Saccharomyces cerevisiae S288C: one gene and its partners. The gene in region 1 interacts genetically with each later gene. Each region holds a gene or a part of one and is shown in the gene's direction. Other genes may lie near its edges.

What was found.
Region 2: mutations in PSD1 (region 1) and SPO14 together harm fitness more than expected from each alone (negative genetic interaction), as found in Saccharomyces cerevisiae (5 studies listed by BioGRID).
Region 3: mutations in PSD1 (region 1) and COG8 together harm fitness more than expected from each alone (negative genetic interaction), as found in Saccharomyces cerevisiae (5 studies listed by BioGRID).
Region 4: mutations in PSD1 (region 1) and CRD1 together harm fitness more than expected from each alone (negative genetic interaction), as found in Saccharomyces cerevisiae (9 studies listed by BioGRID, with this or other methods).

Annotation. Positions count from the first base shown.
Region 1 is NC_001146.8:315,669-319,305, reverse strand, and holds PSD1 (phosphatidylserine decarboxylase 1), read left to right. Parts: upstream 1-1,634; coding exon 1,635-3,137; downstream 3,138-3,637. Other genes in the region: FMP41 (Fmp41p), read left to right, coding at 497-1,276; APC1 (anaphase promoting complex subunit 1), read right to left, coding at 3,424-3,637. UniProt on the Saccharomyces cerevisiae protein: Catalyzes the formation of phosphatidylethanolamine (PtdEtn) from phosphatidylserine (PtdSer). Plays a central role in phospholipid metabolism and in the interorganelle trafficking of phosphatidylserine.
Region 2 is NC_001143.9:500,844-508,223, reverse strand, and holds SPO14 (phospholipase D), read left to right. Parts: upstream 1-1,828; coding exon 1,829-6,880; downstream 6,881-7,380. Other genes in the region: DID2 (Did2p), read right to left, coding at 1-285; DAL80 (Dal80p), read right to left, coding at 517-1,326; YKR032W (uncharacterized protein), read right to left, coding at 1,393-1,707; GMH1 (Gmh1p), read right to left, coding at 7,121-7,380. UniProt on the Saccharomyces cerevisiae protein: Required for meiosis and spore formation. Seems to be involved in the coordinate induction of late meiotic events. PLD activity is induced under sporulation conditions and seems to be necessary to complete the meiotic cycle, but not for vegetative cell growth.
Region 3 is NC_001145.3:126,948-134,868, reverse strand, and holds COG8 (Golgi transport complex subunit COG8), read left to right. Parts: upstream 1-3,296; coding exon 3,297-5,120; downstream 5,121-7,921. Other genes in the region: DAK1 (dihydroxyacetone kinase), read right to left, coding at 1-1,394; TCB3 (Tcb3p), read left to right, coding at 5,502-7,921. UniProt on the Saccharomyces cerevisiae protein: Acts as a component of the peripheral membrane COG complex that is involved in intra-Golgi protein trafficking.
Region 4 is NC_001136.10:200,224-205,289, reverse strand, and holds CRD1 (cardiolipin synthase), read left to right. Parts: upstream 1-2,719; coding exon 2,720-3,571; downstream 3,572-5,066. Other genes in the region: biotin--[acetyl-CoA-carboxylase] ligase BPL1, read right to left, coding at 179-2,251; chaperonin-containing T-complex subunit CCT4, read right to left, coding at 3,708-5,066. UniProt on the Saccharomyces cerevisiae protein: Catalyzes the synthesis of cardiolipin (CL) (diphosphatidylglycerol) by specifically transferring a phosphatidyl group from CDP-diacylglycerol to phosphatidylglycerol (PG).

The DNA of each region.
Region 1 (3,637 bases):
AAATCCCTTTTATTCTCCCGCTTTTTTCTGTATTTATGTAACTTCAAGATTTTTTTTTCTATATTTGATATAAACTTTAATAGGGTTCTTCTTTTCAGAAGTTTATCAATTGCTTAAGCCTCCTTTTGTTGATCAACAACAATAAAGGCTTTATTATCGTAAATTTTCCTACAGCATTTATTCTTCATAGAGCATACCGTTATAATTTCACCGTCTTTTCACTACGCTCATAAAGAGAGTACAGTTATACTGCTGCAACCCTAGCATGTATCAAGCTGTGCTGCTTATACCTATTTTGAAAGGGCCATTCCTTCTTTTGCCATTCCTTTTTCGTCTATTTTCCTAAATAGCTTCCTTAGCCTCACGTTTTTTTGTTCGCTTTCAAGAGATGGTCACCGTTCTCTAACTGATAAGGAAAAACGTTTCAGCCAGAACTTCCTATATAGAAATATTCTGAAAGCTATCGAGTAAAGACTCAGGAAATTGCCAAAACGTTATGAGCTACAATTATTTGAAGGCAGCTAGAAAAATTATATGCATTGGGCGTAATTACGCAGCGCATATCAAAGAGCTGAACAATTCAACTCCAAAACAACCGTTTTTTTTCCTAAAACCAACCTCGAGTATTGTGACACCATTGTCTTCATCATTGGTCAAGACCACTAGACCTGCAAACTCGACTTTCAATGGTTTAAATGAAGACGGAACTAACCCCGGGCCCATTTTTATCCCACGCGGTGTGAAGGTTCATCACGAAATTGAGTTGGCATTGATTGTGAGCAAACATTTGTCCAATGTCACTAAGATGAAACCCGAAGAAGTCTATGACTCTATTAGTGGTGTAGCTCTAGCATTGGATCTTACAGCAAGAAATGTCCAAGATGAAGCCAAAAAGAAGGGGCTACCTTGGACTATAAGCAAGGGTTTTGACACCTTCATGCCAATCTCTGCTATAGTCTCCCGCGAGAAGTTCTCATCCTACAAATCAAACTTACAGGATATTTTCAGAGTCAAGTGCTCTGTTAACGGACAGTTGAGACAAGATGGTGGTACTAACCTCATGTTGCACCCACTCCATAAAATACTGCAACACATATCTACCATGATATCTCTGGAACCGGGTGATATCATTTTGACTGGTACACCTGCAGGTGTAGGCGAGTTAAAGCCTGGTGACCGTGTTCACTGTGAGCTATTGCAGAATAATGACAATATTGTCGACATGAACTTCGAATGTGAAAATCGGCCGGGACCATATGAATTTAGAGAAACATAATGTCTGTCGCATTCACGCTTGTCGCAGATAACACGTTATGCGTTACTAATTTCCTACAAGCTTGGCACATATACGACCAATTGTGCTTCTGTATACGCTACGCTATGTAATCACATATCACATGCAGGGTAACCAGCACCTTTTTGGTGTTTTTTCAAATCTCGAGGTCAAGGGACATCTAAAGCAGGCACAAGCATGTGGAAAATTTGTTCTTCACCTATAATATAAAACAGCTTACTCACAAAAGAGACGCCTAGAGGTACGTAGCGCTTTAAGGACTCTTCAGCCAGTTGTTAGCAGATCGCTCAAATCCTTCTTGGTCGTTATTTTTTGAAGAAGAAGGAAAAGCAAAGCCAGCATGTCAATTATGCCAGTTAAGAACGCCTTGGCGCAAGGGAGGACGCTCCTCATGGGGAGGATGCCTGCTGTAAAGTTTTCTACAAGAATGCAATTAAGAAATAGAACTGCGGTGCTATGGAATAGAAAGTTTTCCACGCGTCTTTTCGTTCAGCAACGACGCAGTTCTGGAGAGATTGTGGATCGTGCCAAAGCTGCTGCCGCAAATAGCGGAAGAAAACAGGTCTCCATGAAATGGGTTGTTTTAACTAGTTTCACCATTGTTCTAGGAACCATTTTACTAGTGTCAAGGAATGATAGTACAGAGGAGGATGCTACAGAGGGCAAAAAAGGGAGAAGGACAAGAAAAATCAAAATATTTAACAATAATTGGCTCTTTTTCTGCTATTCTACTTTACCGCTGAATGCGATGTCTCGATTATGGGGCCAAGTAAATTCTCTTACGTTACCCATTTGGGTTAGACCATGGGGTTACAGGTTATATTCTTTCCTTTTTGGAGTTAACTTGGACGAGATGGAAGATCCTGATTTGACACATTATGCAAATTTATCCGAATTTTTCTATCGTAACATAAAACCAGGCACACGTCCAGTAGCACAAGGCGAAGACGTTATAGCTTCTCCAAGTGATGGAAAGATTTTACAAGTTGGTATAATCAACTCTGAAACTGGCGAAATCGAACAAGTCAAGGGAATGACATATTCCATCAAAGAATTCCTTGGCACTCACTCCCACCCCTTGATGTCTAAGAGTGCATCTAGTCTAGATTTGACTTCTGATGAGGAAAAGCATAGAGAATTCGCCAGGGTAAATAGAATACAATTAGCGGGTTCCGAAGACACTGAACAGCCTCTTCTTAACTTTAAAAACGAGGGCGATCAATCTGTTCGAGAGTTCAAACCAAGTGTGTCCAAAAATATACATCTTTTAAGTCAACTTTCTTTAAACTACTTCTCTAATGGGTTTTCGTGCTCTGAGCCTCATGATACGGAACTTTTCTTTGCCGTCATTTATTTGGCTCCCGGTGATTACCATCATTTCCACTCTCCAGTTGACTGGGTTTGTAAGGTTCGCCGCCATTTCCCAGGTGATTTATTCTCCGTGGCACCTTATTTCCAGCGTAACTTCCCTAATCTTTTCGTTCTAAATGAAAGAGTTGCTTTGTTGGGTAGTTGGAAGTACGGATTTTTTAGCATGACTCCTGTTGGTGCAACAAATGTTGGTTCAATCAAGTTGAATTTTGATCAAGAATTTGTGACAAATTCAAAGAGCGACAAACACTTGGAACCACATACCTGCTACCAGGCAGTATATGAGAATGCAAGTAAAATATTGGGAGGGATGCCTTTGGTTAAGGGTGAAGAAATGGGTGGCTTTGAATTGGGTAGCACTGTTGTACTTTGTTTTGAAGCTCCCACTGAATTTAAGTTCGATGTTAGGGTTGGTGATAAGGTTAAGATGGGACAGAAATTAGGCATAATTGGAAAGAATGATTTAAAATGAAAGCAATCATATGTAAAGTTAGCATTTATTTTGCTGTATATAGTATTATCTGCACACTTTGATTTAATTCTTCTTTTGGAGGTATGTAAAATTATACGCTGTACATTTTTCAGATTGGACTTGTTAGATGTAAACTTTAGATTAAAGATGTTCGTCTGAAGAATTTTAGCCATGTCATGTACCCCTTTCATAAACCAAGTTATACACAAAGATTACACCTTACCCCAGTTTTGGAACCTTTTAAAGCTAGTCTTAGATACCCAAATAAATATTCTTGAGTTTTGCATTATTCATCATGTGGTCCAAAGCTTTTGTACCACAATTCGAGTTGGCAATCCAAAATATCTCCACTGTTTTTATCTGAACACAGCAAACCTAAATTATAAGATTCTGAATCCGTTAATGCTGTATTATTTCCTGCACTCAAAAGAGTATCGAGTTCCACCATTGTCAAATCTTGAATACCCAAACTTTCAACCAGTTGCGAAGAGGTGGTATTT
Region 2 (7,380 bases), on another chromosome or scaffold:
TGATGCTGACACCTGCCTCATCGTGACGGCGGTTTGTACCCTTGATGCGACCGAATCCACCCGTGATGCCAACTTCAACAGTTGTAATCTTTCATTTTTCTTTCTTATAGCATTGGATGCATATATACGAGATATATCTTCATTTTCATTAAGAGCACGTTTGAGCTTATTAGTTTCCTGTTTTTCTTCCTTTGAGGCTTTATTGGCTTGCTTTTGTAATTGTTTTGATGTAAACTTTAGTTGGAAAAGAGTGTTTTCCAAACCTGCTGCAGAATTACGTGACATTTCTCAGTGCGATGTCTGACTTCCTATACTTTCAAAGTAGCTCACATCTCATCAAACTGCTTTCACATTGATTCGTTTTCATTCTTATCATTTCTTTAGGGGCAATTTTCCAGCACCAGATAAATGGCAGTGTGTTACCCGTTCGCGTAAAAATAAGTGTCACTAAATCATATTAAATTTTATATACTATATCCTGTTATATTTATACTGTCATGAACGCTACATCCTTTCTTAATGTTGTGGGTGAGATTGTACTGAAGCTCTGGAGTGTAGTTCCACTTCCAGTTGCTTGCATTTTTCGTTCAGTTGGAATATGTGCTTTTTGTATAGGTCTGTCACCAACTCCAATTCGCTTATCTTGGTCTTCAATTTGATTACCTCCTCCTCATTATGTAGCTTCCAAGTTAGTTCTATTTCTGGTACAGCGGAATCTGAAAAAGGTGAGGGTTCTAATAATGTTGACAAATTAGGCAGCCTTGTCAGCTCTATATTTGACGTGTATATATCTGAACCGTTGATCTGATAGAGGTAGTTTTTCCCACTAGGTTCGCAGGGGTCCAAAGAAAATTTTCCCCGCTGCGTGGAGCACTCCTTTGTGTTGGGAACGGTTTCCTTTGGTTTTAACAGTGGCTTAATGGACCCGCTCACCATAAACTTTTCCAGAATAGAAACCTTCGGATTATTCGTAGGTAATGAACCACCACCAGTTGTAAGCAGTCTCTTCTTTCTCTTGAATATTTTATTTGGGTCGTTAGAATGGGTATTGGCATTAGTGTTCACATTGTTGTTATTCAGCTTTTTCCTATTTCTTGACTTAATGGTGTCCGTCTTCAAGCTGATAGGCCTTGGTTCCCCGTGCAACTTCAGGAAGAGGCCACATGCATTACAGAGAACAGTACCGTGTTCATCTCTTCTCCATAGGGGCGTTTTGACAGTGAAACAATTCTGGCACGTGGGGTGGTCCTCTCCGTCACAATCATCCACTCCAGCAGCAGCTGAAAGTGTAGGCGAGGGCAGCTTCAACGAATCACTAAGCACCATTCTCTTATATATAATATGATATAATATAATGTAATATAGTATGACGGCAGATAAACAATATCCCGCTCAGTAATACAAAATTACTACTGTCTCAGAAAGAATAACCAAGAGAAAATCGAAAAAACAGTAACTGTATCCAAATTCAAGCTGACGCTGGATGTATATATATACTAAGCAACACTTGCTGATTACAGTCCAGGGATGCCGCCACAATGCAGCGAGATAAGCCCAGGATCGGTTTCTATCAAGCATTCTTTGCTGTTTGATTAGCACTAGTGATAAGTGATAAGGTGGAAACTCGTTATCAACGACAAACGGGTGAAGATTGCTACAGCCCTTTGGGTTGAACAAAAGACACAAACATAACGATGAATACGCCATGGGGAAAGATTTAGTGGGAAATTAGCAGGACATTATAGGCACGACCGGTCACTGATAATTCACACGACGCATTGAGAGGCACGTACGCAAGAAGAAAAGGTAGGATAGATAAACAAGGGTGATGTCTAACGTGTCAACAGCGTCTGGAACTCACTTCGCTCCACCTCAGGCAGATAGATCGGTGACTGAAGAAGTAGATAGAGTAAATTCGAGACCAGATGAGTTAGAAAACCAAGAAGTATTGCGGCAATTACCTGAGAATGGCAATCTGACTAGCAGTTTACAAAGAGAAAAACGAAGAACTCCCAACGGCAAGGAGGCGGAGAGGAAGCATGCATTGCCCAAATCCTTTGTAGATAGAAACCTGAGTGATGTGTCACCGAACCACTCATTAGACCATATTATGCACTCTAATGAACATGATCCTCGTCGAGGTTCTGATGAGGAAAATATGCACCGGCTCTACAACAATCTCCATAGCAGTAACAATAATGTTCATTCTAAGCGGAATTCTAAAAGAGAGGAAGAAAGAGCCCCTCAAAGGCGTTCTTCTTCTGTAGCTTACACCCAACAGCAGTTCAATGGCTGGAAGAAAGAGTTTGGCCACGCTTTTAAGAAAATCTCTGCTATTGGTAGACTGAAATCCAGCGTAAATTCTCCTACACCGGCTGGAAGCGGCCATCGTCATAACCAGCACCAGCATCAACAAGTAAACGAAGAAGATTTGTACACACAAAGACTAGCCTCTGATTTATTAGATTCGTTATTGGCAGGATGCCCGGCCTCATTGTTCGCAAGCACGCAATTTCTGAGAGACGAACATGGGAAGAGAAGGGCTCCTCTGCTATTAGCTAAACTAGATGTAAGAGTGTCTCCCTTGAAAAATGACAACAACATTTTGGATATTACCAATAGCAACCATAACCATCGTGGTAACAACAACAACAATACTGGCGAGAATTCTGATAGGAGACCCTCTATTCCAAGGAGCTCCAGCATTATAAGCATTTCTTCGAATGTGGCGGAATTTATGTATAGCAGGAACGAAAACTCTTTATTTAGAATACACTTGGAATATGGGATTGATGAAGACAGGCTCAAATGGTCTATTATAAGAAGTTATAAAGATATCAAATCACTACATCACAAATTGAAAATCGTCGCGTTCCAACAACTCACTATAAGCAAGCTTTATAGTGATAACAACAGATATCATTCGTTACAACTTCCGCATTTCCCCCATTATAAAGAAATGGTTAAAGAAAGAAATGTAATGGAGAAAAAAGCAGAAAATAAACCATCCTCTGCAGCCTCAGCTCCTCATACATCGGAAAATAACAATAACGATAATGGCAGCAACATTACATCGTTAGAAACTTTATCATCTTCTGAAATATCTGAGTTTAATATAGATAACGTCAAAATGAAACATTTACAAGACTTAATTGACGAACCTGACGATTTCTCCCAACCGATACATTTGAGGCTAGAAAGGTATTTGAGACTACTGAACATTGCATTATGTTTGAGACCTCATGCAAATAGATTGTTTGAATTTTACGAATTATCTCCCTTAGGCAATTTATTAAGTCGTGAAAGTGGGTTCCAGGGCAAACAGGGGTATTTAGTAATTAGATCTACTGCCAAGGCCCAAGGTTGGAGAGTTTCTCATTTTGGTAAACATGCGTTTAAAGACATGATCGACAGACATACTACCAAATGGTTCCTGGTAAGAAATTCTTACCTAACTTACGTGTCGGATCTTTCTTCGACAACTCCTTTAGACGTATTCTTAATAGATTGGAAATTTAAGGTTAGATTTTCTGGGAACAAGAATAACATACTTGATAACGAAAACGAGATCAACTGGATCATTCATGATCCCAATTTAGAAATAAATGACGAACTAGAAGAGTTCGGTATTGAAAATGATGCCAATAATATCCTAGACAAGAATGGAAAATCGAAAACACACCAAAAGAAGTCCAATATATCTTCAAAACTATTATTATTGACCCTAGAAAACAGTGAAAGGAAACTGAAAATTATTTGCAAATCAGAGAGTTCGTTAAAGCAATGGATGAGTTCAATTATCAAAATGTCTACCTCAACACCTTGGTCGAAACCAAATAGATTTGGTAGTTTCGCACCTGTAAGAACAAATTCGTTTTGCAAATTTTTGGTAGATGGGCGTGATTATTTTTGGTCGTTAAGCGAGGCCCTCTTAATGGCAAAGGATGTCATATATATCCATGATTGGTGGCTATCCCCTGAATTATACTTGCGACGTCCGGTGAAAGGCAACCAGGGATTTAGAATTGATCGTATGCTGAAAAGTTGTGCAGAAAAAGGTATCAAAATTTTTATTGTGATTTATAGGAATGTGGGGAATATTGTTGGGACAGATAGTCTTTGGACCAAGCATTCTATGCTAAATTTACATCCAAATATACATATCATAAGGTCTCCCAATCAATGGCTACAAAATACATATTTTTGGGCACACCACGAGAAGTTTGTCGTTATTGATGAAACATTTGCATTTATTGGTGGTACAGATTTATGTTATGGTAGATATGATACTTTTGAACACGTTCTACGAGATGATGCAGAATCTTTATTAGATCAAAATTTTCCTGGTAAGGATTATTCAAATGCCAGAATTGCTGATTTTCATGATTTAGATAAACCATTCGAATCAATGTATGATAGAAAAGTCATTCCGAGGATGCCATGGCATGATGTGCAAATGATGACTTTGGGTGAGCCAGCAAGAGACTTAGCCCGACATTTTGTTCAAAGATGGAATTACTTATTGAGAGCTAAGAGACCTAGTAGGTTAACTCCATTACTAACCCCGCCTTCAGATTTAACTGCTGAAGAATTGAAGAGTTTGCCGATGTTCGAAATTCTACGCGAAAAATCGACTTGTGAAACTCAAATACTTAGAAGTGCTGGGAACTGGTCTCTTGGGCTAAAGGAAACGGAATGCTCAATTCAAAATGCTTACCTGAAGTTAATTGAACAAAGTGAACACTTTATTTATATTGAGAATCAATTCTTCATTACATCAACTGTCTGGAACGGGACTTGCGTTTTGAATAAAATTGGTGATGCTCTCGTTGATAGGATAGTCAAAGCTAATCAGGAGAAAAAACCTTGGAAAGCCTTTATTCTTATCCCACTAATGCCAGGATTCGATTCTCCAGTAGATACTGCAGAAGCCTCAAGTCTTCGTTTAATTATGCAATTCCAATATCAATCAATTTCAAGAGGTGAACATTCTACATTTAGTAAACTGAAGAAACTAAATATTGACCCAGCTCAATATATTCAGTTCTTTTCACTAAGAAAATGGTCGACTTTTGCGCCTAATGAAAGATTAATCACCGAGCAGCTCTACGTTCATGCTAAAATTCTGATTGCTGATGACAGAAGATGTATTATAGGGTCTGCTAATATTAACGAAAGATCACAACTGGGTAATAGAGATAGTGAGGTGGCAATTCTTATTAGAGACACCGACTTGATAAAGACCAAAATGAATGGTGACGATTACTACGCGGGAAAATTTCCTTGGGAATTAAGGCAGCGATTAATGAGGGAACATTTAGGTTGTGATGTAGATCTTGTTGAGTTTGTTGAAAAGAAATTTGAAAGGTTTGAAAAGTTTGCTGCAAAGAATTATGAAAAACTTCATACCCTAAGTAAGGAGGGAGATAGTGGTAACAATTGGAGCGATCGAGAAATGATCGATTCCGCTATGATTGAGCTAGGTTATCGTGAAATATTTGGTTGTAAATTTAGCCCTCAATGGAAGAGTGGTCATGGAAACAGTGTTGATGATGGAAGCACTCAGTGTGGCATAAATGAAAAAGAAGTGGGAAGAGAAGATGAAAACGTTTATGAAAAATTCTTCAATTCTGTGGACTACGGTAAATCATCACGTAAGAGAACGCCTCTGCCCAAACATAATTTTGCATCTTTAGGGCTAACATTCAACCACAGGGCAGGAATTGAAAATGTCGGTATACGAGACCACAAAGTCTTAAGTACTGATCCAAGATTAAGAAAGAATGATGAACATAAAAAAGAGGTTGATGGCTACGGTCCCGATTGTTGGAAAAAGGAATCCAACAAAAAATTCAAGGCCGATGCAACTGAACAGCTAAAGGAGTGGGCATTGAACTCATTGGCCTCGAAAGTTCTTGACGATAAAGAAATGATAAAATCAGAAATTCCAGAAGGATTTTCAAATTATTTGCCCAATGAGAAAGATCTAGAAATGTATCTCACGGATAAAACTGTTACCAATAGAAACAAATGGAGTATGCTCAAAAGGATATGCTACTTGCAATATTTATCTCATAAACTCGACGAAAGAAAAACACAGAGATTGAAGAAAATCAAAGATATGAGAAGACATTTAAGTTCAAGCACAGAAAGTACCAGAAATGGGTCTAATAGTCTGCCATTAAACGAAAAGAGCAATGAAGGAGAAAGCACTAATGTCGACCAAGATATCGAAGGCGATGAATATCATAGATTGCACGAAGATATTTTGAAAAATCAAGAACTAGATGATGGTTCACTGGACGATCTACTTTCTCAGATAATTCCTAAGATCACTAACTTTAACAGTGGTGAAATTGATGACGCAAAAAAAGAAGAGTTATTGAAACTCAACTTCATTGACCCGTATTCCTTCGAGGATCCTCTTATTTCTTCGTTTTCTGAAGGGCTATGGTTCACTATAGCCTTGAGAAATACATTACTCTATAAATTAGTGTTTCATTGTCAACCCGATAATGCTGTACAAAATTGGAAAGAATATGGAGAATTTACTGAATTAGAACAAGAATTTCAAATAAACCAGGAAAAGTTGATTGACTTAGAGGCTGAAAATATTAATTCTACTACTACAAATGTTGTAGATAAGGATAGGGAAAAGGAAAAAATGAGAAAAGCCGCTGAATTGAGAATGAAGTTATCCGGTAGTTTGCTTTATGGATTCAATCAAAAGGTTTTTGACAAACATACGGCGCAGAGAATCTTGGAAAGGATCCACGGTCATTTGGTCATTTTCCCAACCGAATGGTTAGCTAAAGAAGTTGAGAGTAGAAATTGGATTTTTAACTCGGATAGACTTTCTCCAATGGAAATCTACAATTAAGGGAATATAAAAACGACCAGGAACACACCATTACCTGTATTTTCCTTTTATCTGTTATAAGCATTCGACGCTGATACATAAACAGTTTTCATTATGCATTCTTTTGGTCCATAGTGTCATTATTGCTCTTATTACTCATTGCATTTTTATACTTCAAATATATATAATAATAATATCATTATGTAATTTATGTGCTTTATCTTAAAGAACCAAATTTTTTCTATTTCCGTGTTCAATTGCTTAATAATTGTAAAAGCTTAATTTCTTGGATAAGTCGATGCCAAATAAACTGATTAAATAGATTATCGATAATCCTAATGTTGGTAAAAGTATAAAGTTCAAATTTTTCAAGAATGGCAACTGGTTGTATCCATAAAAGGTTAAAATAAAGTAATGGCCAATAGCAAAACAATATAACGAATTACCAATGAGTAAGGAAATCCAGTTTTGTAAATTAATTATGGGCAGTAGTAAAAACTGAATGAAGTATAGGCACAGTA
Region 3 (7,921 bases), on another chromosome or scaffold:
GAATATAAACCACCAGAAGTACCTCCCATTGAGCCTTCAATGAAATCTGAAATTTGGGCAACCGCCTGAGATAATGAGTCCTTCGACAGCTTGTCAAGGTTTTCGGTGATGCCTTTAACTCCTGCCACTAAAGTGTAACCACAATCACCATCACCAACTTGATTGTCTAGTTCCGTAATGTGCGGTTCGCTCTTGATAACTTGTTCAGCACCACTCTTCATCCACTCAGCAAACTTGTCAAAGTCATAGGTACCGACGGCCTTTGCTGTTACTTCATTATGTAACAAGTCATCGTTAACAGATGGGGCAGAAGTCTTTTCAAAATCTGCAATTGGCCAGCCCGGTGCGTTCGTAAATGCGTTCAACAAGTCTAGTACTGATTTGATCTCCTCAAAATCAGATTGCAAAGCCTTTGTAGCCTTAGTGGCGTTTAGTAATGTGATACTGAACCCATTACCATTGAAGGAGGTCATCAATGTGCCAGCAATTGTTTGAACCGGGGTTATGTTGTAATTTTCCTTTAAGAAATCCGTAGTTTTGGAAGTGATAGAACTAATAACAAAATTAGAAACACCGCCGAGATTGTTAACTAACAAGACAACTTCATCATCTTCATCAAACTTTACAAAAGCTCTATCCTTATCGTTTGGATCCAATAGTTTTGGTAGCATATACTTGGAGATCAAGTCTTCGGTAGAAGGAATAGGGTCTAAAACTTTCACACCAGGTTCGTTATGAATACCCATACCCAATTCCATTTGTTTTTCGTTTAATTCACTTTCGAATTTCCTGCCAGGAACTTTACAATGGTCTAAAGAAGATCCAATGGTCACCAAATTGTCGTTGATAATTTTAGCCACTTTAGCTGTACCGTCTAAGCCATACTTACTAGAATATTCTTCTGCGAAGGCACCTACAATCTTATGAACCAAAACGGTACCTGCCAATGCTCTTCTACCAACCATACCACCCTTTTCTCTGCCAACTGCAACATCATCACCTATGACAGCAACGCGGCAGTTAATACCCAAGGCTCTTGCTCTCTCAGCGGACAGACCAAAATGCAAAACATCACCTGTGTAGTTCTTCACAATCAATAAAACGCCAGACGCATTTTCATTGACTAAACGGATTGCATTTAAAATCTGTTTTGTTGAAGGGGATGCAAAAATTTCGCCAACCACGGCGCCACTCAACATACCCTTACCAATGAAACCGGCGTGTGTAGGTTCATGTCCACTACCACCACCAGAAATTAATGCGATCTTGTCGGAATCGGTCTTTCTGAAGAGAATTTTTTCTTCAGGGACCAGCGTAATGGAGGGGTTAGCAAGGGCAAACCCTTTGAGACTTGAATTGACTGGATCTGTGACTTCAAACGATTTAGCGGACATTTAAAATTTAGTCTTAGATATAGAATGTAATCTTATTCTTTGATGTGTTCGTTTACAGTTGCTACAAATAGTGACTACTTGTAGCGAAGTTGAAGTGATTTTCTCCTTATATATTTATTCATCAGTTAGTTCGACAGACGCTCGCGAGGTGGCCACTCTTTCAAAATGACGCAATTGGGAGTGGTTTGATCTTTCTCCCTTAGAAGCCAAATTGGCAAGCACTCACTCCGGGCCAGATTTACACCATGTTTGTAGCGCATTTAAATCAGGAAATGCATTATATTTCACTCTCTCGTCTAGCGAGTCTTAATGTTCATGACGGGGGAGCTTTATGCCTTGTTTTTTATCACAGCGCCAGACAATTGACAGTAACAAATAAAGGCAAAAAACCCTTGAATAGCACCAGAGGTGTTTACTGATTGCTTTTAAAGTACGTATAAAACTGTAAAATATAGATTAAATTCGACCGCCATTACTTTAGAGTTGAAATTGGGAAGCCGTATATTGCCATTTCAGCCATGCTTCTATGGTTCCTAATGGAAGCATGAATGACATACGCAATTTGATGAGCTTGAAAAGGGCGTAATTGACAAGCCAGATTTGAATCTAATCCCTTGAGAAATTATCTGCAAGTAGTAAAAAAATCTCTAAAAGATGTATAATTGAGTCGCCTAGAGACCTCATTCATCATGATATTTGACACCTTAATTTTGATAGTAGCGGGTCAGTCATTAAGAAGAAAGTGAGCTGGGGCTAATCATCAACGATCTCCCATAATTACGTACGTCAAAGACAACACGTTGGCAAAGGTAAGAAGAACGTAGTGCGTATCATGCTTACGGTGAATTTCACCCTTTTTTTCTGTTATTCGTGCTGATCCACGGGGTATTCAATTGAAGATATTATCTTTATCATCATATCGGTAAGCGTCTGGGAGAAGCAACTGGTCAAACGTTTTCAAAAACCATTCTTTAAACAACAAACCGATCAATGTTCTTGATCAGCTTATCAATCTATCCGATCTCCTGCGTTCAGCGTGACCGCCACACTTATGTCTAGATAATTTAACTTCCAGTTGCTAATTTCCCGCTAAAGTATCTTATGTTTACCATCACTGTAGCCGCCCTATCATATGCAACACTTCCATACTCATTTTCGGAATAAGAAGCAACTATCATCTAACGACTAGTATTTATATTACTGGTATATTACCATATTGGGTATAAGACGGTCAAATAAATATTGAGAAACAGTCACCAATTTTAATGGAAATTGAAATGAAAGGGTTGATAATGTGCTAGGAAAATGAACGAGAACATACAAAATGAAAGAAGAAATAATAATATTCCTACACAGAAATATCGGTTCTCTATTGTGGATTTTCATATTCTCGAGGAGAACCTCTAGTACATTTTGTGTATCTGGTATCACAGCGCTTGACAACTATAGAATTTAAACAATTATCTCATTCTTCATCCATCACTCAATCATATATATTAACCCCGGAAAAGTGCATTTTTGGTTTCTAATAACATTTGTATTAGTAATATTTGTTTACCCAACAATTCAAGAAATTTAGCTCGCGTGGCGTAATGGCAACGCGTCTGACTTCTAATCAGAAGATTATGGGTTCGACCCCCATCGTGAGTGCTTTGTTTCTTCTTTTTTGAATATGCTAATTCTAAATTTATAGGAAGAGTTGGATTTTCCTTTAGTTAGTTGTACTCTTGAAGTCCATTTTCTTTTTATACGTACATTAGATCGATCTCGCGATCATGGCTTCAATGTCTAAAAATATAGCGTAGTAACATACTGAAAAGAGAAGCACAGAAAAAATAATCATAGAAGTGTTAGGACATTTGAGGGAACATATTTCAACAATAAACATAATCATTGAGTAAAATGGAGCTGATACTAAACAGCCTCATTTCTGATGATTTAACAGAGGAACAAAAACGGTTAAGTCTTGATTTCCTACAGGATATCCTACAATCTAACACGAAAGACTATGAAAGTTATTTTTCATCTAGGGCTGTTCCTGGTAGCATAACTGAAGACATAGCAGAAATTGATGCTGAATTATCTGCCCTTGATAGAAAGATAAGGAAAACACTACTAGATAATACGTCTCAGATTATCGGAAATATTCTTGAAAACGATGATAGGGCTCAATTGGATGATATAGCCAAGTCTTTGGAGCAATTATGGGAATTGGATACTAATATTAATAAGGCAGCCGATCGAAACGTTACAAATGACGATATAAACAATGAAAGCGTTTCTATTGATGACTTTTTGGAAGACGATAAAGAAGACAACGACACAGGTCGCATCATGACGACTGAGAGTAACAATCTGGCAAGAAAGAAGAAGGAGGATGAGTTTCACAAGGCATTAAGTAGGTTAAGAAACAGAATTTCAACTAAAGAAGATGACAAGGACGACATTAGATCTGACACATTAGTCACTGTACTAGAAAATTTGGATAGCATTACGGATTTGATGGAACTACCATTTTTGGCCCGCACATGTATCAGAACAGGTCATTACCAGGAGGCCGTCATGCTATACACACACACTACTTCCCTGAGGTCAAGATTCCCTGGTTCAACCATTGTGGATGAAGTTTGCGAAAAAGTTTTAAACGAAATTAGTACTACCATGTTATCCGGGCTGGTAAAATTACTGTCTACTAATGTATCAGTAAACTCACTAAAGAAAATACTACAGTACTTGAATTCAATTCCACCATTTGATGGAAAGACTAATAAATCATTATTAAGTGTGTTTTTAGCCATGAGATACAAATTCATTACCGATGAAATAGCATCATATCCTTTGGACGTTGAGTCTTCTAATGAATCTTTAATTGAAATGATGGTTAAGAGGAAAATTGAAGTCCTCAGGGAACATGTCTACATGTCCTTGAATGTCTTTCTGAAAAGCTTCTTGTATGATACAAATGACTTAGAGATTCCTTTCCCAGAGGAACTAGAAAGTACTGTGCTAAGGATAAATGGGACTAACGAAGAGAAAGAAATTGAAGAAAAGGAGAAAGAAACAAAGAAGGAAGAATATCAAAAACAAGATAGCGTAGCGAACAATGAAGAAGATGTGACAGAAAATAAATCGATAGAAGATGTACAAGAGGAAGTACAAGGCAAAGTGGAAGGCGAAGATGATGGAGCAGAAAGGAAAACAGAAAATGAGATAGAAAATGAAACAGTAAACAAAACAGAAGACAAGGCTGAAAAAGAAAAAGAGGAAGAAGTAAATACCAAAGATAACAAGGCAGAAAAAGAGGAAGAAGAAATTAATAAGGTTGAGGTGACCCCAGAAGAGCCAAGCAAAAGCATAGATAACAAGGCAGAAAAAGAAGAAGAAGAAATTAATAAGGTTGAAGTGACCCCAGAGGAGCCAAGCAAAAAGATTCGGACTTCAAAAAGGGAAAACAAAATACCTACAAATGCAGTCATGTTGCAATTCGTTGATAAGTGCATAACATACGTATTAAAAGACCTCACTCGTGGGTTAAATAGCATCAAGCTGAGTGACTCCGTTTGCCTGCAGTTGGTGTACTGTTCATTCCGTCTTTGCGACCTGAATCGAAACTACCACCACCTCTTCCTAAAAAAAATCAATGACACTAGCTTGTTTACGACCGAGCAGCTCGCCCGGGCAATTGACAAGAGAGCAGAACTGGCCTCTAAATATATATACTCCTAGTATAATATTGGCTCACTATGTATTTTCAAAATGACGATCGTCCGAAATTTCCATTTTTTTATTTTTTTTTTTCACTTCTTCGCCAGCGCGAGAAGGGGGAGAAACAACAATACGAGAATGTATGTATACCTTTACAACACACTGCTGCAGTCAGAAAGGGAAAAAGGGATAATTGTACCTTACATCCTTTAGAATTGCACTTACCTTTTCCAATTGCGATACATTTCACTTTGATAGACAACTTTGCTTTTTAGCGTTACTTAATTTAATCAGTTTTCTTCTTAACAATATAAAGAGCATCATTAGCTAGCTTTGTTTATTGACATACGCAATATTGCTAGAAAGAAAATAAGTAGAGCTACGCATTGAAAGTCAAGAAAAATGACTGGCATCAAAGCTCAAGTCCATCCCCCACCTGATAGTACCCTATTTCATGAGGAGGAGAAGAAGAAAGTAGGAGGCAATTTACCTCAAAAGGTCATAAATCAACAAGAAAGGGGTTCTGATCACGCTCCATCGGGTCACCATCAATACCACCAACTGATTAACCATGACGCAAATGACACAAAGACCTCAAATTCAGTTTCTGATGTGTCTAAAGGTCAGAAAACTGCTGACTCCAACCCGGAAGGTAAGAAACAGTCATCAAAAGACATATTTGTTGCCTCCAGCGCTCAAAAAACCAATCAATTGCCCGGTCCCAACCCACAGGGAAGCATAGGAGCCGTGCCATTGGAAGGTTTACGTCCGAAGGAATTCAGATCAGCACCATCTAGGAAGCCAAATAAATTCGACACTTCGATTACTAAGCCTGGCGTCTTAGACGACTTAGGCAAACTTGATGAAAAGGATATTAAGGAAAAATTTCACCTAGATTCCGACGACAAGTTATTTCCATGGCAAAATGTTGGTGAGTTCCATGCTTCAGGAAAGGGTTCGCCAAATACAAAGATGTCCAGGGTTATAAAAGCTTACATTCTGGAAAATTTTTATAACGATTGGTACTGTAATATAGCCACCGTTCTTGGAACTTGTTTCTTCTCATGGTTATTTGCTTACATTGGGTTTTCATGGTGGTCTATGATATTTATCTTCTTGGGAACTGCGACCGTTTACAACGCAGAATATACAAGATTCAACAGAAATATCAGAGATGACTTGAAAAGAGTTACAGTCGAAGAAACCTTGTCGGATCGCGTTGAATCCACTACGTGGTTGAATTCATTTTTATCAAAATTTTGGGTGATTTACATGCCAGTTTTATCTCAACAAGTCAAAGATAACGTTAACCCTCAACTGGCAGGTGTTGCTCCAGGTTACGGTATCGATGCGTTAGCTATCGATGAATTCACTCTGGGCTCTAAAGCTCCCACCATAAAAGGTATTAAATCGTACACCAAGACTGGTAAAAACACTGTTGAAATGGATTGGTCATTTGCATTCACCCCAAGCGATGTCTCGGATATGACAGCTACTGAAGCTAGGGAGAAGATCAATCCAAAAATATCTCTGGGTGTCACGTTAGGAAAAAGTTTTGTCTCTAAAACAATGCCTATTTTGGTTGAAGACATTAACGTTGCTGGTAAAATGCGTATTAAAGTTGAATTTGGTAAAGCTTTCCCAAATATCAAAATTGTTTCTTTACAACTTTTAGAACCACCTTTGATTGATTTCGCACTGAAACCAATTGGTGGTGATACTTTAGGTCTTGATGTTATGTCATTCTTGCCTGGTTTGAAGAGTTTTGTTAAAAACATTATCAACTCCAATATAGGGCCTATGCTATTCCCTCCGAACCATTTGGATATTAATGTTGAAGACATTATGGCTGCTCAATCAAAAGAAGCTATTGGTGTCCTTGCCGTAACCATTGCTTCTGCCGACTCTTTGAAAGGCTCAGATTTCATTACCAATACTGTCGATCCTTATATTGTTATGACTACCGAAGATGCTGTGCCTGGTACAGATGAAGAAGTGCGTACATCTATCAAATCAAATGTTAAAAATCCACGTTGGAACGAAACCAAATATCTATTATTAAACACCTTAGAGCAAAAGTTAAACTTAAAGTGCTTTGACTTCAATGATGTAAGAAAAGATACCGTAATTGGTGATCTTCAACTTGACTTGGCAGATTTACTACAAAACCCTGTTTTGGATAATCAAACTGCTGAATTAAGATCCGGTACAAAATCAAAAGGTATTTTACATTATTCCTTACACTGGTTCCCTGTGAAAGAAGATAAATCAGAGGAAAAAGCAGTTGAGCGTGCCGAAGCTAAGGCCAAGGGCAAGAAAGAAGATGAAAACGAGGACACTACTGAAAAAGAAGAAGACGAGAATGAAGAAAGTTCTCAAACTGATGTCGGGATTGCCAAGATCACTTTACAAAAGGTCAAATATCTGGATACAACCAGTTCTATGACCGGTAGCTTGAGCCCATGTGCTGAATTATTCATTGATGGACAAAAAGTAAAGAGCTATAGAACTTTGAGACGTATCAATGAGCCATCTTGGAATGAGACCATCGAAGTTTTGGTTCCATCAAAATCTAACTCTAAGTTTGTCCTAAAAATATTCGATGACAGAATGAATGGTAAGGCGCTGATCTGTGAGTATTCATCTTCTTTAGATGATATAATGACTACTTTAGACACTGCTCAAGAGTTTGTTAAAGGCTCACCACAAGGTGACATTTATTTGGATGTTTCTTGGAAATCAATTGAAATGACCGGAGCTTTTGCCGCTGCAAACTCTGTAAGCGAACCTATTGGTTGTATTAAGCTAGACGTTAAGGATGC
Region 4 (5,066 bases), on another chromosome or scaffold:
TATTTTTGTATCATAATAAAAACGTATACCAAATATACCATTATTTTTCATAGCATTATGGTAGGGATAGGGAATCAAGTAACTAATTTATATCCGCAGAGCATTGGGAAAACCAACGGCGCTAGTAAATGCATTTAAATTACGTCCGTCCAACTTCTAAGCTTCAAGTGGTAGACTCTTAACTCTGAACCTTTTTAGCAATTAAGCTCTTGAAGATATCAAAAGTGTTACCGTCCGGCTGTAAATTATAAACGTTTCCTGTAAATTGAGTGGAACTACCGCTTACCAATTCTTTTGCAATCAGTAAACCGTAGTCTTCCGTGATACCAGTAATCATGGCTTGCGTATTTCCGTGATCTGGTAATGTTACTATTTGGTTACTATGTAACCACAACTCATAATAACTTGGCAATATTTCCGCAGCTCCGTAGTTAATAAACTGTTTTAATATGACCTCAAGGTTATTCATATAGAGTGCCTGCAGCTTTTCTGCCTTTATTGCTGGCAATAAATCAAGGTGTAATTGTTGGCGTTCTTCATTCAGGATATCAATCCAAGTTTGTAATGAAGTTGTAGGACCATCACTAGTCAAATTTATACCACAGCCAAGTAGCAAACAATATTTATTGTTTATGAAGTGGGTATTAACTAATAAACCAGAGATCTTAAGATAAGCGGGCTCGATATCACCTAAGGGCAACTTTGTATGCTCAAAACCGGTGTTAACCAATTTCAAGTTTTTACGCTTATAGTAGGTGGGGCTCAAAGCATAAAGGTCATTGGGCCATTTGATCCTAACAGGAATATCTGAAAATCCAGGAGCGTACGAAAGTATCGCCTTACAGTAAGCAAGCATAGAAAGATACTGGACAAAAACAACTGATATATTTCGATTAGTCACAGGCGATTGAAGCGGCATTGTTACGACGGCCGTTGATGCGCAAACACCTTTAGGATTAATCCAAGTGTTACCACCTCTCCCACGCCCAGAAACCTGAATAGTACCCACGTGAAGTAAAGTGCTTTCAGGGATCGAACTTAATAAGGATTTATTATTATTCAATATGGTACTCGTTGATGTAACAACTTCACCATATAGAAGTAAAGAACCTATGGTGTTTTGAACATTCAGATACTTGAAGTATTCTTTCATGTCAAAATTGGGCGTATATTGAAATGGTGGAATATCTTCATCTACGCCAGGAAATATTACGGTCTTAGGAACCTCATCTGGCTCTTTATGAAGCAAGGACGAACTTGCTGCATCGTAAGAGGCTCTATAGCCTCTATAAAATTGGAAAGAGTCAGTTTCGGCGTTTAATTCTGAGCAGAGTTCAACATTATTTGCATGCATTCCATGATGAGCTAAGTTGTTTTCCATTTCTTGCAAGTAATTCCGCTTATTAGGTGCACTAGCCATAAACAGTGGTGTCAAATTTGGAGCTCTTACATAATTGAAGTCATTATTACAATTCAACCCAGTTTTGGTAAGAACCGTTCTCATAAATTTCAACCTCATGATTTCCTGTGCTTTCAGGTTTTCCACAACGGTTTCAAGAAAATGCTTATCTGTGGATTTCCTCATAAAACGGACGTTGAATTCAGGGTGTGGTCCAGTGAGTAAAACCTTTCCTCTTCCGACCGTACATAGCACTACAGCAGCTGGGTTTTCACTTTGACCTTTTCCTGAGTCAGAAGAAGGCACATCCGGGTGTTCTGCGTACGTGGCCAAGATCTCGACATTATCAAATTTATCTGCATCAACAAAAACGGCTCCTCCATTGAAATAAGTTGAGAACTGTGAGCCATCTGGAAGATTCAATTTAACTGCACGTGCACCGGCCTCGCTGTTATACTGAAATCCATTGTACGCAGGTCCTCTGCTTGTTCCCGGAAAGAATCGCAAATCCCTGCTTCCTGATACTTCCATTGTAGGGTCACCTTGAGCAAATTCTACACGGCTGGTGCCAAAGTAACCTCCTGCACAAAATCCGATAAAGACACCACCTTGTTTGCTAACAAAATGTTTCAATCGAGAAATAATGGGTTGACAAGCTTGAACGTAAGGAAGATCGGCACCACCAGGAAAAACTACAGCGGAGGTCTTTGACATCCATGGTTCTGTCTGTAATACCTTAACATTGACAGTACTGACGGCGTAATAGGGTTCCAAAAAGTCACGTAAACTTTCAACAGCATGCTTAACTGATCCTGGCGTAGTCCCTGGGCCATTATAGACTAATACATTCATATTAGTTGAAATTGGATAATATTGATAAGATCGTTCTAATATCTTCTTTATTGGAACTCTGAACCTGTAACAACCAGTAAAAACCTTGCACTTTTGTATACCAAACAACTTTTGAGAACAATATATTACAGCAAAAGAAAAACTGACGAAGGGAGAAGGAAAGTAAAATATACTTATATGTGCGTTTACCCAACGTTTGGCAAACAATTACAGGAAGAAAAAGCCAAGTCCGTAGCTCTGGGATCTCTTACATGAAACCATATTAAATGTCAACCAACACTTCACAGTCATGTCTTCGAATCATTGTGCGGCGACTATTTCCGAAACTGGAGTGTGAAAAAGCTCGATTCATGAAGCCATCCTCTTAATCGGGAGTATACAATATTTACAATTGAAAAAATATAGAAAGGAGGCAATTGAGAAACAAGCAGGCCTGGTAGCATAGTTTGGTCCCTAATAATTTAGTCAATGATTCAAATGGTGCCCATTTATTCATGCTCCGCATTACTTCGGAGAACTATACCGAAAAGGCCATTCTATCATGTGTTATCAGGGTTAACTGTACGCTTTAAGGTAAACCCGCAATTAAATTACAATCTTTTCAGAGATCTCACTAGGAGGGAATATGCTACCAATCCGAGTAAAACTCCTCATATAAAGAGCAAGTTGCTCAATATTCCCAACATTTTGACTTTATCACGAATAGGATGTACACCCTTTATCGGACTCTTCATTATAACGAATAATTTGACCCCAGCATTAGGTTTGTTTGCATTTTCCAGCATCACTGATTTTATGGATGGGTATATAGCAAGAAAATACGGCCTGAAAACCATTGCAGGAACCATATTAGATCCACTTGCAGATAAACTACTCATGATCACAACAACTTTGGCATTATCTGTACCATCCGGCCCTCAGATTATACCGGTATCTATTGCGGCGATAATTCTGGGTAGAGATGTGCTACTAGCCATAAGTGCTTTGTTTATACGATATAGCACTTTAAAGTTGAAATATCCTGGTCGTGTGGCATGGAATTCCTATTGGGATATTGTTCGCTATCCCAGCGCTGAGGTCAGACCTTCCCAACTATCAAAATGGAACACGTTTTTCCAAATGGTATATCTTGGATCTGGAGTATTATTACTTTTATATGAGAAAGAAGAGGGCTGTGAAAAAACCGAGGAGGATTTCGAAGATAGAAAACAGGACTTTCAAAAGGCCTTTAGCTATTTAGGGTATGTAACCGCCACGACCACAATAATGAGCGGAGTATCCTACGCATTAAAGAGAAACGCTTTTAAACTTTTAAAATAGTATAATTGCGATCCTTTTTGAAAAGGGTCCTGACTTTTCATTTTGAATGTTTTTTAGTTTTTATGTAGTGGAAAATACACTAAATCAACATATATATGTATATATGCATAAACATATGGATACTGGGAAACCCATGTTAACGGCTGAATGCAATATCATCAATACGTAAGATGGATTTAACACATTCAGACGCTAAGGTAATTGCACTTGTACTAACAAGTACGGGTTGTAAGATGTGTTCTTCATAGGTGTTCGTAGTACCAGATCGTCTAACAGAGATACCGTCATTCAATTCACCATTTTCATGCTTAGAGCGCAATTCTGTGACAACTTTGATACTATTCAAACCTGCGTTTTCAGCCAAAGTCGTTGGAATAACTTCCAAAGCAGAGGCAAATTCTTGCCAAATAAAAGCCTGTACACCTTCCATAGACCTTGCTTCCTTACTCAACCTACGGGATATTTCAATTTCTGGAGCACCACCACCAGCGATTAAACCTCTCTCTTTCACTAGACAACGAATAACACATAGTGCATCATGGAGGGAACGCTCTGTTTCATCAATGATCATGTTGTTTGCACCACGAATAACAACAGAGACGGTTGGTCTTGCATTATTGTTTCTTATACCAGTTACTCTAACTATCTTGGAACCATCGCTATCGATCTCCTCAACTAAATCAGCGGAACCCAATCTATCTTCGGTGAACAATTCTATATCAGCAATTGGCTTACAACCCAAGCCCTTCGACAGAAACTCGATTTCTTCTCTCTCGATATCCTTTACCACCATTATGTTCAATTTTGACAAGAAATGAAGAGCCAAATCATTTACCGCATCTCTCAAGATGGATTTCTGAATCAACAGCACGTTACACTTGGCCTTTTTAATTTTTTTACAGATATTTAGCAAATACGCTCTTTCTTCTTTAAGGATCTTATCCATTTGTCTATAGTCATTAACGATGATATTATTTTCTGTGTCGGGCTTTGGAGGAGATATTTGGAATTGAATTAACCCAATCTTTGCTTTTTCCTTTCTTGTCGGACCACCAGCAGATTTGATTGCCGTTTGTGTCAAGACCACACCATCTATCATTTCTGTGTCATCAATGGTACCACCAACTTTTTTGACCAGTCTGATATCGTTCAGGTCAACATTCTTAGAGTTTTCATCAGATATCTTCAATACGGAGTCCACTGCCAAGGGCGCCAAAAACGAAGAGTATTGAGACACAATCTTGGAACTCAAAGAAGTGGATGCAGCACGAACCAGCTGTTCTCTATCGCTCAACGAAACCTTATGGCACATTTCTAAAAGAATATCGACAGATCTCTTCGCAGCACTTTGAAAGGAGTCCGCAATGATGGTTGGATGGATGCCCTTGTTTAACAGCCTCTCAGCAGCACCCAATAGAGCTCCGGTCAAGATCACCACAGAAGTGGTACCATCACCGGCTTCCGAGTCCTGCGCGGCAGAAACCTCTACTAGCAT